Stegostoma tigrinum: one gene and its partner. The protein of the gene in region 1 interacts with the protein of each later gene in a pairwise test. Links are inferred from orthologs where the notes say so. Each region holds a gene or a part of one and is shown in the gene's direction. Other genes may lie near its edges. The genes, in order: bcl11aa and nr2e1.

Region 1 (8,036 bases):
GAGGAAATAACAAATGATAGGATGTTCTTATACATTAAAAGAAAGTAAAATCGTTTTGAAATCCACCCAAATTAAGTGGATTAAGAAGGTCAATTAGATTTGACATTTTTTTTCAAAAGTGACCGAAGTTGCACAACTTTAAATTGAGGCAAAAACAAATGGCTCCTCGCAGGAAATTATACACATAAACGTTAAAAATAGGTCCAATTAAGTAGAGAGACGTTAGACGTTAGGTTACTGGAAAGACAGCTATGTGCTGGAGACTGCACAAGATCAGCTGATGAGTAATGTACAAGTCGCTATATCTTTGCAAAATAAATAGCCGCGAGAAAATATCTAAATGACACATATAGAGCAGCTTTGGTATTTGGGTCTAATCCTTTAGACAATTTAAGGGAAACAAATGAGAAAAAATATGTTTGGTACAACTGGTTGTAAGGTTTCTTTAAGGAAGATGTAGTTTGCAATGGATGATTTCTAGGTTTTGGTAGTGGAGACCAAAATGCTCAATATATATCTAAGCTAATGAAAGGTACTTGTTTTCATGTCATTTGGTGGAAGCCAAAATCCAGTTTTACTAGTTTTTTTCACACCTGGACGGCAAGGCGGGGGAGGGGAGAGGGAACGCAATACAAATCCAGCTACAGACAAAACAATCTTTGTTGTGCTACTACCTCTCGGTTGCCTGTCTCATCTTGAACAAAGGCAATGAATATTATAGCACCAGATCCATATGTATAACAGAGCACACAGCATGCATGCCACCAATTACGTTTGGATTGTACAGCAGGGGCATTTCAAACGCTACACTTTCTCACTCAATTTTGTATGCCAAGACACAGATCTTTTGTTCGCGATTAGTTTTGGTACAAAGCCTACACGATTTGCACTTCTGAATATAGTGCAAACGTCATCTGAACGCTTTCTGCTCAAGTGCCTCCTAATATGTGGGATGGAATATGGAAGCTTGTAATTGACACTCATTTTTACTGGCAAGCGCTGGCACGTCTTCAAGACTGTGCAGACAATACTGAAAACATCGCTAAGTTCGCCTTTTTCAATGGGTGCTGCGACGAACCTGTGCAATAAAGCTCGCTGGAACTGTGGTAAAGAGAAAATATTTGAAGGAAAGTGGTTTCGTCTTGCAAATAGATCCGTCTTGTCAACAGACAGACTTCAAACAGTGCAGCCACTTTAATATAGTGGAAGTCACATGCCACAACTGTCCACTGCGTTCAAATGCTTCTTCAAATTTATTGTCCCTTATATTAAAACGCGCTTCGAAGTTAAACGTCACAGGGTGATCAATTAGTTACTCAACAATTAGTTGTTGCATTGCAAACCAAAAACTCTGACTTTATCTTCCTGACAACTGAATTAAACTTCCGAATTATGCAAGCTGTTGACCACTGACCGCAGAAGCTATGTAGATTATGCGAAACATTTGATTACAATCAGCAACAACAAGGCGCTGATCACCGAGCAAAGGTTGGCGGCGGCGCTAGGGGTACTCCTGCAAGTCCCGGACAGAAAACAAAGGTTATATATATATATATATATATATAAAGTACATTTGCTGAATGATCTAAGAGACGGGGGGTAAAAATAATGACAAAGCAGCAGAAGGATTTGATTTATTTTGCGAATGGATCGAGACTGCTAATGTCTGATCATTTACATATTGAAATGCGACCAAGCGGACACTCAATTTTCCTGCCCATGTTTTGCACATGGCTCTCTCGATTTTCAAGCAGCCAGGTTACCTCGCAACGCCCCTTGAGGAGGTCAGGCGGTCGATTCCGCGTTGATCAATTTTGACTGCAAGGCATCAACATTATGAAAAACACCCTGGCACCAGATGGAGCGAGGTCTAGGTAAAGGTCAAGGTTAGCTCAGCCTGCTATTGAATCGGCTGCGTGATAGATCGTTGACTCGCTTTGCTCGGAGGCACCCATAGGGGTTTCTGAGAATAAAAGGAGTCACAAGTGAAACGCTCCGATGCTGCTCTGAATGCTAAAATAATTATTCGGATGCATTAAAAACGAGTAGCCAAATTCTTCCATAAGAAAACACACGCGCAGATAGGTGCTGGGAACATTTTATTAAGCATATCAGTCTGACTTCGAATACCCAACTCCAGTCATTGACTACATTACTTAAAGTTAGTCACTGAGCTAATCAAAAGATGGAATTAATTCCTTCATTACGGATTTGTCCATGAAGTGGTCGTGAAATTACCGAATGCGTCGATACTCCCTCCACCCCACCCCCCAACTCCCTCTCCTCAGTCTCTTCCAGGCACTCGATCGGATCTCTCCGTGCTGGGTCCGAGTTTCACTGGGCAGACATTACACACAAAAGTTACTCATGTATCCGCGCCGGTAGTTTTAATCAGGAAAGAGTGGAGGAGAGGCGCGCGGCGGCGGCGGGCAGGGGGTGAATGTATGTGTTTGTGTGTTGGGAGGAGGGGGGCGGGCGGTGGGTGTCTGTACATTTTTATTTGACTGCGACTTGGCAATAATTGGATTCGCGAACTCACTTCATAACTACTGGACAAGATGGTAGATAAAAGGCGACCAGGTTAGCAGCCAGCTTCCAGATGCAGATTAGATCAGAAATAATTTTGCATTAGAAGTGGGGGAGGTCTGCTGGAAGGAACTTGGCTCTGGCAGTTCGGCAGCGCTTTGCCCTCGCTCCCTATAAATTTACCGAACCCTTTTCCTGTAGAAAACCGCACGGTTCGAAAACAAAACAACCTACAGTCATTTGGAATCCTTGCAGATGGGAAATGTACTTTTACCGTTTTAACAGAAGTGCCATCCACCTCGGGTTAAGAGTTATAAAACCATTTTGTTTTACATCCATGACTTTAAGTAACCTAACTTCCTCGTGTGAGACGGACGGTACAGCTGCAACCGCAGATCTTATCTGATCGTTGAGTGTTAAGAGTAAAAATAGTTAACCCTTCAACCACTTGCTACAGCTGGTGAAAAGAAAAAAATGGCGCAGTTTCTGTTAACATATCGCACCATTGATCGCAATGAGTTCAATTTCACTTCTGCCTGAAATCTTTTGCTAGCCATATTCACGTCTAGGGCCCTCCAGCTAAAAGTATTTATACTCCACAAAAAAAAGCACCATCATACACACAAGGTTACGTCTGGGGAGCACAATACTTATACTTCATGGAAACAATGACTTAAAACGCCTCTGAAATCTTCCATATTCTACGGTTCCTGTTGCATCAGTACAAATTTATAGTACAGCACAAGTTTTAAAAACAAGATTCTTCAAGCTACCTATTCCGATAGTTATCTCGCTGAAGTCTGCAATCATGCACTCGAGAGACAAAATTCTTTCTTATTTACGATTTTCTAATTGCAAAGCATGTTACACGATTTTTTTCTAGTTTGTTGTGCAGATTTTATTTTAAATAAACATGGAAGGGCAGATTTATAAAAAAACTGTTATGTTATATTGATTGACTAGACTTTCAGCCATCACATTTAATCAAACCATCCAAGTATCACCAAGGGCAACAGAATTATCATAAAATCATTTTCCTTTAAAAAAATCGTGTGCTTGAAATGTTATTACATTTTTTAAAATAAAACGGTCGATGCAGGTGCAAAATCTTCAAAGGTTACTCGAAAACTCCTTTTCTCACCTCGCATAAATGAACAGGGCCGTATGTGTATCTTGAAATGAGAAGCAGCATTGCTATTTTAAACATAATTTGCATTCAACTCCAATACCTGCAACTAAAGTACCTGCAAATCCATTGAAAAACGAGAATGAACTGTGTGAAGATCAATTATCAAGCCGTTCTCGGTTTAACATACTGTATAGAAGAGCGACACAAAGGGTAGAAAAATAATAGGATTAACATTTTCACTTCATATTATATATTCACGTTACTTCAAGCATTTCCACGGTCTTGTGAATTATCCGCCAATAAGTAACTGAAAACAGCAGAGATGCGAATAACAGGTAACGCTAAGGAAATAGATAGTCGAGGACACTTCCTTTTATTCCACAAACTAAACATAATATAACGTTATGTTTATAAAGCACATAAGCACAGAAAGAGTCAGCAACCTTCAGGAGCAGTTGCTTTTGTCATAGAAAGTGAAAGAAGGCAGTAGACATGATTTATGATTTTAATTTAAAATAATATACAAATGTAAATATCTACGCTCTATCCAGCTGTTTGGATTCACGTGTACGCTATCGAATTTCAGTGGGCTGCAAATTCTAATACTCATTTGGGTATTTACACCATAAAATACTTTACAAACCTTGTTTATTCCCCCTATCACCACTACACATAATTAACTTTATGAATAATGTCAACCTTTTCGGACGTGGTTGGCAATCATAACGGGGACACAAAAACAAACGCGGAGTGCATGTGCGTTCCCCTTCCTGATGTCCTGCACGGGTTGTCCAGCGCAAATGTCTCATCACTTGCCCAGTTCTGGCCAGCAAGCGTTGCGCCCATGAGTTGCCAGCAGTTTGGGCTGGCACAGAAAGAGAGAGAGAGAGAGTTGGGAGCGGTGTGGAGGGGAGCGCGGTTGGAGTGGCTTTCAGAGAGAGAAGGCGGTGGTGTGTGTGTGAAGGGGAAGGGGGTGGTGGTGTGTAGATGGTGGTGGTGGTGTGGGGGGGGGGGGGGTGGTGGGAGCGGTTGCAGCGGTAGGCGGATGATGGATTGATTGGAAGCTGCTGGAAGCTGCGCCTATTGGATGCCTGGGACTGAGAGTGAGTGTGAGTGTGTGTTAGTGAGACTCTGTGTGAGCAGTGGGGTTTGTCCGGCCCCGTGTCCCTGGGTATGTATCATTGGCTTGCTCTCTCCTCTCGCCCTGCCCAGCCACCTCCTGACGTTCAAGTTCGCGGGCACGTCACGTACGCACTTGAACTTGGTCGTTTTAAAGCCATGACGGCTATCCCACAATCCATCTCCATCCGCCATCTTTGTATTATTTCTAATTTATTTTATGTCAAGCCATTGATGAAGATATTTTCTCTGGAGTCTCCTTCTTCCCGCTCCCGATGTGACCGAGCATGTCTCGCCGCAAGCAAGGCAACCCTCAGCACTTGAGTAAACGGGAATTTTCACGTGAGTAGCTTTCAAATTTTTTTTTGTTCCACTTTTTTTGGGAAAAAAACATATTTAAAAATAAAGCGCTCCGTTGAAAGTGCAGGGAAGAAGAAGAAAGATCTTCCCCGGCGGCCCCCCCGCAACCCACCCCTCTCTCTGGTGAGGTGCCGGCAGCAGCAGCGGCGCCGGGGCTCGATCGGTCAGCGCTTTGACCGGACTCCTGACAGCAAGTGGCCGGACTGAGGGGCAGAGCAGCTGCAGGGATCTGAGCCTCCCAAGTGTCCGGCTCCAGATCCGCTCAAATTCTCTTATCCACCTTTCCCCCCTCCGTCACCTCCATACACAAACAAAAATCCTCCACATGCCAAGGAGGGTGGGGGGTGGAAAACAACAGAAGAAATCAGAATAAACTCCTCAGGAGGTGAGGGGCAACGAAACTGTAAGGAAGAAACTCAACAAGAGTCCAAAAAAAGTGCCGATACCCCTCCCGCCCCCTCCTCTCCGGACACTCGGCGCTGGCTTTGCAGCTTTGATCGCGCCGCCCCTCAAAGGGCATCAGTCCCCGAGCCCCATCCGTCTTCCACCCCCCCCCACCTCCCCCGCCAAAAAAATTTAAACTTATTCCCTCTCCTTCCTCCTTCCTTCGGAAGCCGGGAAATCGTCTCATACTCGCTCGCAAGTTTAATTCACCGCTTAACTTCTCCCGCTTTCCCTCCTCTTACTATTTTTTGGAAGATTTTCAAAAAAAATCTGGAAGTAGATTGTGATTGGGAAAAATCTCGTGCTTGAATGTTTACAACAAGCTGCAGCTCCGCGTGTGCGGAAACCTCATGGAAAAAAAACCCAGCGCCGACGCTCTCACATTTTGCAGCGTTTCGCAAATCCCCTCCCAGAACTATTAAGTCTAATTAATAATTTTGTTTTGAAGAGTCACAAACTCCGCTGTAAACCCCGGGTGTTAGCGTTGCTGTCCTCGGGCAGACACGCGGAACTCTCGGGGCTGACCGAGCTGCGGGTGTCAGTCAGTCCGGGCGCGCACACGTGCGATCCGCCAGATCGGGGAGAGGGGGGAAGAGATCCTGAGGAGTGGGAGGCCGGAGAGTGGGAGCCCGGGCGTAGACGGAACACGGGGATAGAGATCCTGGAACTGGGGGAGAGGAAGCCCGGGTAGAGGGACCCCGGAGCGAGGTGGGATCGGTATAACTGAATGAGAGATCTTGGAGACGGGTGGTGGGGGTTGGCGGAGGTATGTTGCTGGAGAAAGAGAGAGCCCGGAGCTGGACGGAGAGATTCGGGAGTCCGGGGGGGGGGGTGGAGGAGGGCGGCGGGAAGGTCGGGGTGGGGGGTGATGTGGGTGGTGAGGTAGAGACGCCAGAGTTTTTGGATACACTAGTCAGAGAGAGAGAGAGAGAGAGAGAGATATCCCGGAGCCGTGGGGGTGGGGAGAAATAGATGGGGAGGGAGAGAGAGAGAGAGACCCGGCAGCACAAGAGAAGGGGAGAGCGGGAGATCTATGGGCGGTGGGGGAGAGAGAGAGAGCGAGAGCCTGGGGAACGACAACCCGGTGGACGGAGTTGGGAGAGAGTCCAGCTCCCGGCACCGAGATCCCGTGGGGCAGGGGAGTCCGGGTCCCGGACTCCGTTCCCACACACGTTCGGAAGGAAGTTATTAACAGCCCCACCCCACCCCCCGGAATGTTAAGCACACTGTTTGGGGAGAGGGAGTTTTTAGCTTTGGTTTTTGTGAAAATGAGACTTTGTTCCTGTTGGGGGAAAGCCGCAGGTTTGTTGTCAGATTTTCCAGTGTTGCCGTCATCTCTGAGATTGCGATCGGCCAGTTCCTGGGCTTTCACATTGAAATCCAACAGAGCGAGCAAACTGGCGAGAATTGAAAAGAAATACCTGGCGAATAAAGTATAGTTAAAACTGTAGTGTGGGAGTTTCTTTCGCGTTTAAAACCCGTTTTTCATAATTCAGTGATTGTGGGAAAATGTATTTATAAGCCAGACAGTGGAGGAAAAATAAGGCGATTCGTCTTGTCGATAGAAATCGCGGACTTTTGGCTTTCTGAATATTTTCTGTTTTGCCAAGTCCCCGTTGAATCGTCTCAATGTAGAATATTGGGTCTAAACGGAAGATGTATCAAGGTTGTTTAAAGTGTGCGTGAGGGACTGAAGGGAGAGGGGTCGATGCTGCGCGCTTGTGTCGCTAGGAGGCAGAGTAACATCAAAAACAAGCCCAGGCTGCAACCTGCGCAAACTTCCAACACCATTTCCTAGCGACTGCTCTCAGATCTTCCTCCTTGTCCTCCCCCGCCGACCAAAAAAAGCAAATTAAACGAAACCGACCCCATCCCAAACACACTCTGCTTTACTGGCTGTTTTCCATCCGATATTCTTCCAGGTAAAAGGGCTAAGTCTGATGCCGAGCTTCACCTGCACGAGGGCTCGACGCATCGGAATTATTGTTGAAGTTCGTTGAGTTCAGGCATTATTCTAAACAAAAGCAATCAATTAAAAAAACTAAATAATAACACAGCTTACCCCTTCCCCGTTAAAAAGCTTGGAGAAAAAGGAAACAATTTTTAAAAAAATCAGTTCAGTTAATGATACAGAAGCAAAGTTTGTTCAATAACAGCAGCTAGTTGTTTGCTCTAAAGAATATTTTGCTTTGACCCACGTGTGTGTGATGATTGCATTTTTTAAAATTTTGGGAAATGCTTTGGAATAAAACAAGGCGAACCTAAATAAATGAGTGGGAGCTTCGGCGATCAAGTGAGTGTTAGTTTGTCCAAATCCACTGCTCCCGGTCTCATAACACTTCCAAATATCTCACTCCGCGCATCATATCTTCCGCAACTTTATTGCCGTTTGCTAAACTCCCCTCGAACCGACATTTCCTGATACTATTGCGAAGTGACAGTTGTATGGAATTCAGAT
Region 2 (7,826 bases), on another chromosome or scaffold:
TCCCGTAACGCTGTATGTTTTAAAAATCTTCAGGTAATTGTCCAACTGGCTGTTGAAAACCACGATTGAGGTTGCCTCTACGAAACCTCCGGACACCGCATCCCAGATCCTAACAACTCCAATAAAAACCTTTACCTGATGATCCAGTTGCCTCTTCTGTCAATCACATTAAATTTGCGTGTCCTGGAATTGGAAGTTTCTCACCATCTGCTTTGTCCAAACCGTTCACTATTAAACCTCACTTTTAGTTTCATCTGCAAGGAAAACATTCCCAGCTAACTCCATTCTATCCATGCAACTGAAGTAGCGCGTGCCTGGAAATATTCCCCTGAATCTTTTCTGCACCATCTCTAATGCCTTTACATCTTTTCTGAAGTATGGCTGCTTAAAACTGGGCACAATGCAAAGGTTGAGGCAGAACCAATGTTTTATAAAGGTTTCTAGTAACCTTCTCACCCTTTCACGCATGGACCGGTTAAAGCCTAATGCCCCGTGCCACCCCGTACTCAACCTGCACTGCCGACCTCATACATTCATAAATATCCCCAGGTCCCTCAGTTCCACCACCTCCTTTAAGGTTACACAATTTACTTTATATTGTCTTGCCTCTTTTTTAATGATAGCATTTCCTGCAATCATCAAATACTTTGTGTCCGATACTAGCCTTGGCTCAGTTTGTCGCAGTCTCGAATCAGGGTCAAAAAGTTCAAGGTTCAAGTTCCATTCCAGGGCATGCGCACAAACACCAGCGCCTACACTCTCGTGTGGTACTGAAGGAAAGCTGCACTGCCTTAGATCCTGTATTTTGGGCGAGATGTTAAACCGCGTTCAATCTGCTGAGTGTAAAAAAAAATCCAGGTGGTTTATAAGAGCCGGAGAGTTATTCCCTTTTGTCTGATAGATACGTATCCGTCAATCAACATCGCAAATGGAAAAAAAACAACTGATTACCTAGACACCATCACATTACTGTTTGTGAAAGCTTGCTGTGGGTAAAATGGTTGTTGTATTTCCTACATTGCAGCAATGACTGCTGTTCAAAAATGATCCTTTGCCTGTGAGATGATTTGAGACAGCTGATGATTGTGAAAATAGCTAAAAACGCAAGTCCATCTGATGAGTTACTGCACCAGTAAACTATCAATGGCTCCGATTAGGTGACTTGACTTTTACGTGAAAGATAGAGAAATATGATATTATCTCAGTAAGTGTACCCATGAAATGTGTACTTTGTGCACGATGCTCTGCAGAAATTGACCAGAGATCCTTAAAACACACCTTCCAAACCCATGACCACATCTATACAGAAAGACAAGAGCAACAAATACATGAAACATGCTGTCTGGAATTTCCTCCCCTAAAACATTGTGAGTCAGCCTACAGCACGTGGGCTACAGGGTTCAAGAAGACACCTCACCATCACCTTCGCAAGGGAGACGAGGGATGATTCACACTGGCGATATCCACGTTCCAGACGTGAATAAAAGATGGGCTGTCGCTATTGTCTTTTTTAAAAAAAACATCGTTTTTGTATCTTTGTCCTGAGTTTCATTTGGCTGTTTGTAGTGAATCAATCACATATTACAACCCGGAGCAAAAGTTCACTGACCAGTGAAGGAAATATTTGCAATTACGGAGTGTATTTCATACTCACAACCCAGAGTGACTTATTGTCAATGAAGTGTCTTTTTAACTGTAGTTACTGCTGCAACACAGAAAGGCCAGCAAAGTGTCCTGTGCCAAGCCCCACTAAGAAAAAGCGTGTGAAAGTGGCCCAATAGTCTGGATAAACATTGATATCAATTGATGAAACATATTAGCTAGGACACTAGGAACAGCTTCCCTCATCTAGTAATGTGCCTTGGGATCATTTGCATTCACATGCGAGGGCAGGTGTGTTCTTGATTCGATGACTCACGCAAACGATCGCACATTAGGTCTTCACTATGCTGGAGTGTTAGCCTAGAATTTGTGTTCAATATGGGGAAGACCCTGTCAGTGTATTGGGAAGGAAGGTGCTCGTGGAGGCATGTTGCAACAGTCGGTAGTAAATAAAGTGCTTACAATACAAAACTGAAATTTTCTACCCAAGAGACGACGCTAAGATAAATCAACCTGAAATTATTGTCCAAGGTTTCTGCATTGAGTTTAAAGGAAGGTACAACTCGTCGCCAGAACAATGGATTTCAGATAGGTGGCATTTCGAAGAACTAATACAATTTCGTTTGCAATATTACAGCCAGCATTTCTTGCCTTTACCCCCGAGATTTATCTCATTTCTTGCTGTATTTATTTTACCTGGAAGGGATTCCGTGTGCAGGCAGTAGCCTCTCCAGATTGCCACATCTTGTTATGCATGCCAAGGTGCTTGGAGCATCACTGGATGTGAGTTAGTGAGGAAGTGAAAATGGATGCACGGTGGAGAGCATGTTTCACATCGAGCTCTCATAATCAGTATTACATAGAGGCCTGTTTTATTTCAACACCAAAAGACAGTGAAATCGCTTATGGTTGGACAAGACTGATAGGACGAGTCAAATTCATGTCAGTTTTCTGCAATAATTATTAGAATTGGTTACAGTGTAACACCCCAAGTCTTTCTGATAATCCGAATTGATATTCCGCTTTGCCAATGAAATCATGGCCAATAGCATATTCTCTTTGAAATGTTCAGTTTGAATTTATTGATTTTACAGCAAAAGGCGTTAAGCCCATCCCTAATATAGTTCTGTAATATTTTTAGATTCTGTTAGCGAACTGCTTCAAGAACTTACAAATAGTTGATAAATTGCAGGCCCTCCCTGCTCCTGTTCCGGAATAACAACGACCATTTTAAATGCTCAACGACATACAACACAAATCAAACAACTTTTAATGTCCTTATCGTCCAATAAAAAGTACTTTTCGATTCCTTCCGCCATTCACCTGATCGTTTGTAAGAGTTGGAAAGTTTTGAAATTAGCTTTCTTTTAAAAAAAAATCTGCTTTGTTCCACTGTGGGTCCAGCCTGACCAACATTACCATTCCGCGACGTTGTACAGACAGCAAACTTTATTTTTTGTGGCCACTAATTGATCAGATGGTGGTGAATATTCTGAACTCCAGTGGAAAAGTGAATTATTAAATAAAGTTTCGAACAAATGATATAGTTGCAATGAATAACTTCAGAATAATTACAGTGGTAGCTGATTCCGCAAGTGGTACTTGGAAAAATTAATTTTTTTAGAAAGAAAGTCTGCATTTGCCACGTTTTATAGGTACATGTACTTTTTATAGATGTGCTCTGAATCCAGTCCAAAAATATTGCTATTTTAAAGCATTGGAGTGGTCGCATACATTGACGCCCTGGATTTCAGTTGAATATAATGTTACCTTAACCTCACTGATCTGCACTCCAGTTTTCAAAATGGCATTAAACTATCTTTGTAAAGTGGGATTTTCGCAGGTCATGTGACTGGTGATGGTGGATGGAAGCGAGTGGGCGGAACTGACTGCCGCTGCATTGCTGCAAGGAGATTTCATGCTGCTAATAGATTGGAACAAGTTAGATAACCGAGATCGCCTAGAGGGCATCACAGTCAAACTCGCCGATAGATTCGGACAAGAGGATTTGCAGCAAAAGCCAAGTCCATCAGTCCACCGTGACCGATGTCACAACGCAATCCATTTCATCTAAAAAACACCCACGGATCCCTGCTCGTTATGTCGTTAGCAACTGTAGCAGATTAAAGGTGCTGAAACTTTTAGTCAGATTTGCGGCGCCCTGGGCCAAAACATTCCCGAGAGCGAACAGGAACAATGCGCTGAGCCTTTAATCACAATCTAGGGAAAAGTATCAATCCTCACGATTCCATCCGAGAGTTTAGCAACCTCTTGCTTCACCAGTTACCACAACACAGAGGGGTTCTTTCGGCTTTAGTTTCAACATACAGAGCTAGGGAAGCTCTAGAGCAGTTTCTGCATCAGTTGAGGTCGGCAGTAGATAACTTACAGAATCTCCTTGTTGCATTTAACCAATTAACAGATTATTGCTACCTCACTAAGCAAAAAAAACGTGATTTTAAATATTAGCAATATTTGTGATAACCACAAAGATTTGGCTTTCTACATTTTGCAGCGCCTAACAAGGTATTCAAGAACGTAATGCTTCTGTTTACTTACTGCAGTTTGTAAATCTTGGTAACACACAGAGTCTACTTGAAAGAACCTCCTCAGTAATTTCAAACGTTAACATCGCAGGAGAGGAATGTTGCATTCAACAGGAAAACTTTCTGTAACTAACAGTCATAAACAAACTTACACGGGAATTTGTTGCTTTCTACTCACCAGCTTTGTAAACTGAGGCCAAGACCTGTCGTTTTTAAAGACACTTTATTGAAATGAAAGACCTCTGCCGGTTTTATTATTGAGGACGTTGTACATGTGCCTGTTCCTGTTTTCTCTCCACGGGCAATGAGCCTGATGCAAAACATTTTATTGCGGACAATCTCTCTCTCTCTCTCTCTCTCTGTTTGGATCGGTTGACAAAGTAACAGCTTCCTCTTCCCACCCCTTTTCTCCCAACCCTACCACCTTTCGGCGCAAAAAAACCCCTTCGTTGTAACTTTAAAGCCTAGGCAGAGCTCGGAAATGCAATTGGCATCTTAAGGGCTGAAGGGTACTGACGTAAGAGTGTAATGTGGCGAAAGGAAAAGCAGCGAGATACAGACTGGAGACTGGGCAAGGGAGTGTGTTGTTAACCTGCGCTGATTTCTTCAAATTTCCTGTTTATGCGAAAGCTTTGGCTTCCGAAACCAAATCTGGGAGGTCACAGTCATTGCATATCACGCCAGTGTCCAAAACAAAATTCATCATCATTTGCTTCACGTTACCGGAAGCTGCTGCTTACAACTTCTTCTTCTCTGTCCGGTCAAATTGAAAGTCAGGACTCTTTCTCTCTCTCTCTCTCTGAAACCGCTGACAGCTCTGAGGATCGGAACTTCCACAGGCTTGTTGCATGACGGATGGACACGGTGAGTTCAGCGATCAGATCCTTCCTACTTCCCAAGAGAGAGACGGTGAGAGCTGGCCACTTATGGACGTCACCGGCTGAAGACTGACTGGTGCGAAGGCGCCTGAAGAAATTAGGAGTTCACGTTCCGCTTGTTGAGAGCAGACAGCAGCCGGGCTGATCGACGGAAGGACTATAACCGGGTTCCCTTCGCGCTGCTTCACACTGTTAGAGCGCCTCATGAGATTGCCCGCTCTATAATAAGCGCCACCCCGACCATCCCCAGATCTAGCATCGCAAGAATGAGCAAGCCTGCCGGATCAACAAGTGGGTGATGTGTAAAAATATGAATTTGTTCCGTGATTTCAACCTTGGGCGGGAGAAACATCCCAAAACTATGTACGTTAAAACTGGTGGCCCGGGGCAAGTGGGTGGGTGTTTGCCCGAACTTAATTCTGTTAGTTTCAACTCAGCCTGTGCATTATTAGTAAAACAGCAATTTTAGTTGTGTTAATTGTCACTGGATTCAGAGACCTGATTTCAGGTTGCGAGGGTTATATTCGCAGGGCCTCGAAGTAAAATAATTGACTCGTAGATAGTTCAATACCTAAACCTAAACAAGCTCGGAGTTCAGTGAAATGCAGTGCAGTTTGCTCACTCCCCTAAGGTCTCATTTGGTGGCCAGAGAGCAAGCGGTATCTCTTCCAAGTTTGCGGAGTCCCAATCCTTTTTTTTTGGCTGCTAACATTATGCACGCGGTTTTTCTTTAAAATCTGTTCGCAATCAAACGCGAACCGATCTAATTTCACGGGAAGTTTTGCGCCCCTAGTTATACGGACTCACAATCCGGGTGCTGATACAAAACAGTTTTGCTTCCATTTCAAGTCTGAAAGCACTTTATTATGGGTAACGTACGTGTGCTGGCGGATTCCTTCCTACACCACACAAAAAAAAGTTAAATTGGGAGAGTCCTGATCAGTGAAGTGAGAAGCTTCGATCAGCAATCGGTGATAGACTCCTGTTACTTTCCAAGCACACGGACAGAGTATATTTTCGCCATTTCAAGAAAGAACCAGCAATCTCTCATTTTAACCTAGGTGAAAGATTCCAGATTTTTGGGAGGTATATTGATACAACCTCAGTTATCACTATATCATATTCAGGTATATAAGGTATTTCGATGATTACGATTGAAATCACAAGCATGTTATTTTGGATAAGAAATGCACTCTTCCCGTGGTTATGAAGCTTTGTTAAGCGGTAACTCATTTCTTACACTGAAACTGCTATTTCTCGGTAGCGACTAAATTAGGAGATTCTACCATTGTGCAGAAGTGATTCCCTTCATTTAATGTATTTTTCCTCCTCACTTAATCCAGGCTTTGCAGGCCACAGCTGTGTGTTTAACTTTGTTGAAGTGGCTACACAACGATTTCACACTTTCCTTAATCCTGAATATCTGGTTGGTACTGTAGGATGTTAAGGGTAGAAATTTGCCGAAAAGCTCCGCGCTCACAAACAAGTAGCCCCTGGATGAAAACTTAAGCCCACCTAAGTGAAATCAATCAAAAAGTCACATAATATCATTCGAGGCGTTACTGAGGAATTCATTAAGAAGTACATCGAGTATCCCATCGAACAAAGTATTCCATCCTCTGTAAATCTGCGCACAATCTCAAAGAAAGTCAAAGTCGTATAGAGCAGCGCGGCTGATACTAATGAAAGATGCGCCATTGCAACCAGGTTATAAAAGGCACCTTTAGAAATCCACATCATCACGAAGACAGGTAGGGAAGTGAATGCACTTTCAATTGTCAAAGATACGTAAGAATACGGTCCTTGCTGTTGGAAACAGAGTTAGTGTTCAGGATCATAAAGACTACATCGACATTAAAAACAAGGAGTGCAAATAAAGCCAAACTACAGCTTAGATAAGAGATACAGTTAGGTCAATCAGTCTTGTATGGGAAACAAATGTAAAACAGCGAAAGAAACGACCTCATCATCTCAATTCCCCAAGTTTGGTGTATAATCCCACTGTCGGAGCAAGATTATCTTTCAAGCGCAGCTACTGAAACCAACTAAGAGGTGTTTGCCCAGTGAAAAGGCAAAGTATGATTGATTTTATTTCAACAAATGTAAGCACGTCTAAAGAGCTAAGTAATTTGAAATGTTAACTTTAGAACAGGACAGTGCAGCAGGAGAGCGTACTCTTGTTAGACAGAGGTGGATTAAGAAAGCGCGTTGTTCCATTGGAGTCCAGAATTGCCTTGTGTAATATAAATTCACAGGCATTTTCACGAGCAGGGATTTTCATTCCCAGGATTTAATAGAGTGCTTTCCAGTGTTCTCTTCCTCTGCGATAATTTGCGAAGTGTTCTTACGCAGGCCCATCGCTGGGTTTGTGTTGTTTTTGTTGGGTGGGCTGTGGAAACATCGTGTTTATTTTTTCGTCTCTCTAACTCTGCCTATTAGTTGTGTGAAGCACAAACAAGGCCGCTGCATGGGTGGCAATAGAAACCGACTCGTCCCCCAACAATCACTTTCCTCGAATCAAAGATAACTTCTTTCAACTGCTTATAACGTTGAGGGTAATTACAGTAATAGAATATGCCATATACTTTTAAGTAATAATTACACACAATAAGTGTCAAATGACCCCCTACTGACAGAAGTTAAAGGCATGTTTCCTAGTGCATAAAATTGTGTTTCTTTTTCTGATTTTACACACGTCAAGACTAAAGCAGTCGATCGACTGATTAGACAGTTGCTTTGTTAACAATCCTGTTGCAGAAGAACAGAAAAGGTTCTTCTCACTTTCAAAGTCACCGTATTT

Evidence for each region.
Region 2: the proteins of bcl11aa (region 1) and nr2e1 interact in a two-hybrid assay, tested with the Homo sapiens proteins (2 studies listed by BioGRID). The link is inferred for Stegostoma tigrinum from reciprocal best matches to the Homo sapiens genes BCL11A and NR2E1.

What each region holds. Positions count from the first base shown.
Region 1 is NC_081362.1:41,927,292-41,935,327, forward strand, and holds the start of bcl11aa (BCL11 transcription factor A a), read left to right. Parts: upstream 1-4,807; 5' UTR 4,808-5,061; coding exon 5,062-5,116; intron 5,117-8,036. UniProt on the Homo sapiens protein: Transcription factor. Associated with the BAF SWI/SNF chromatin remodeling complex. Binds to the 5'-TGACCA-3' sequence motif in regulatory regions of target genes, including a distal promoter of the HBG1 hemoglobin subunit gamma-1 gene.
Region 2 is NC_081357.1:27,101,465-27,109,290, reverse strand, and holds the start of nr2e1 (nuclear receptor subfamily 2 group E member 1), read left to right. Parts: upstream 1-4,565; 5' UTR 4,566-4,996; coding exon of another isoform or gene 4,997-5,012; 5' UTR 5,013-5,292; coding exon 5,293-5,317; intron 5,318-7,826. UniProt on the Homo sapiens protein: Orphan receptor that binds DNA as a monomer to hormone response elements (HRE) containing an extended core motif half-site sequence 5'-AAGGTCA-3' in which the 5' flanking nucleotides participate in determining receptor specificity.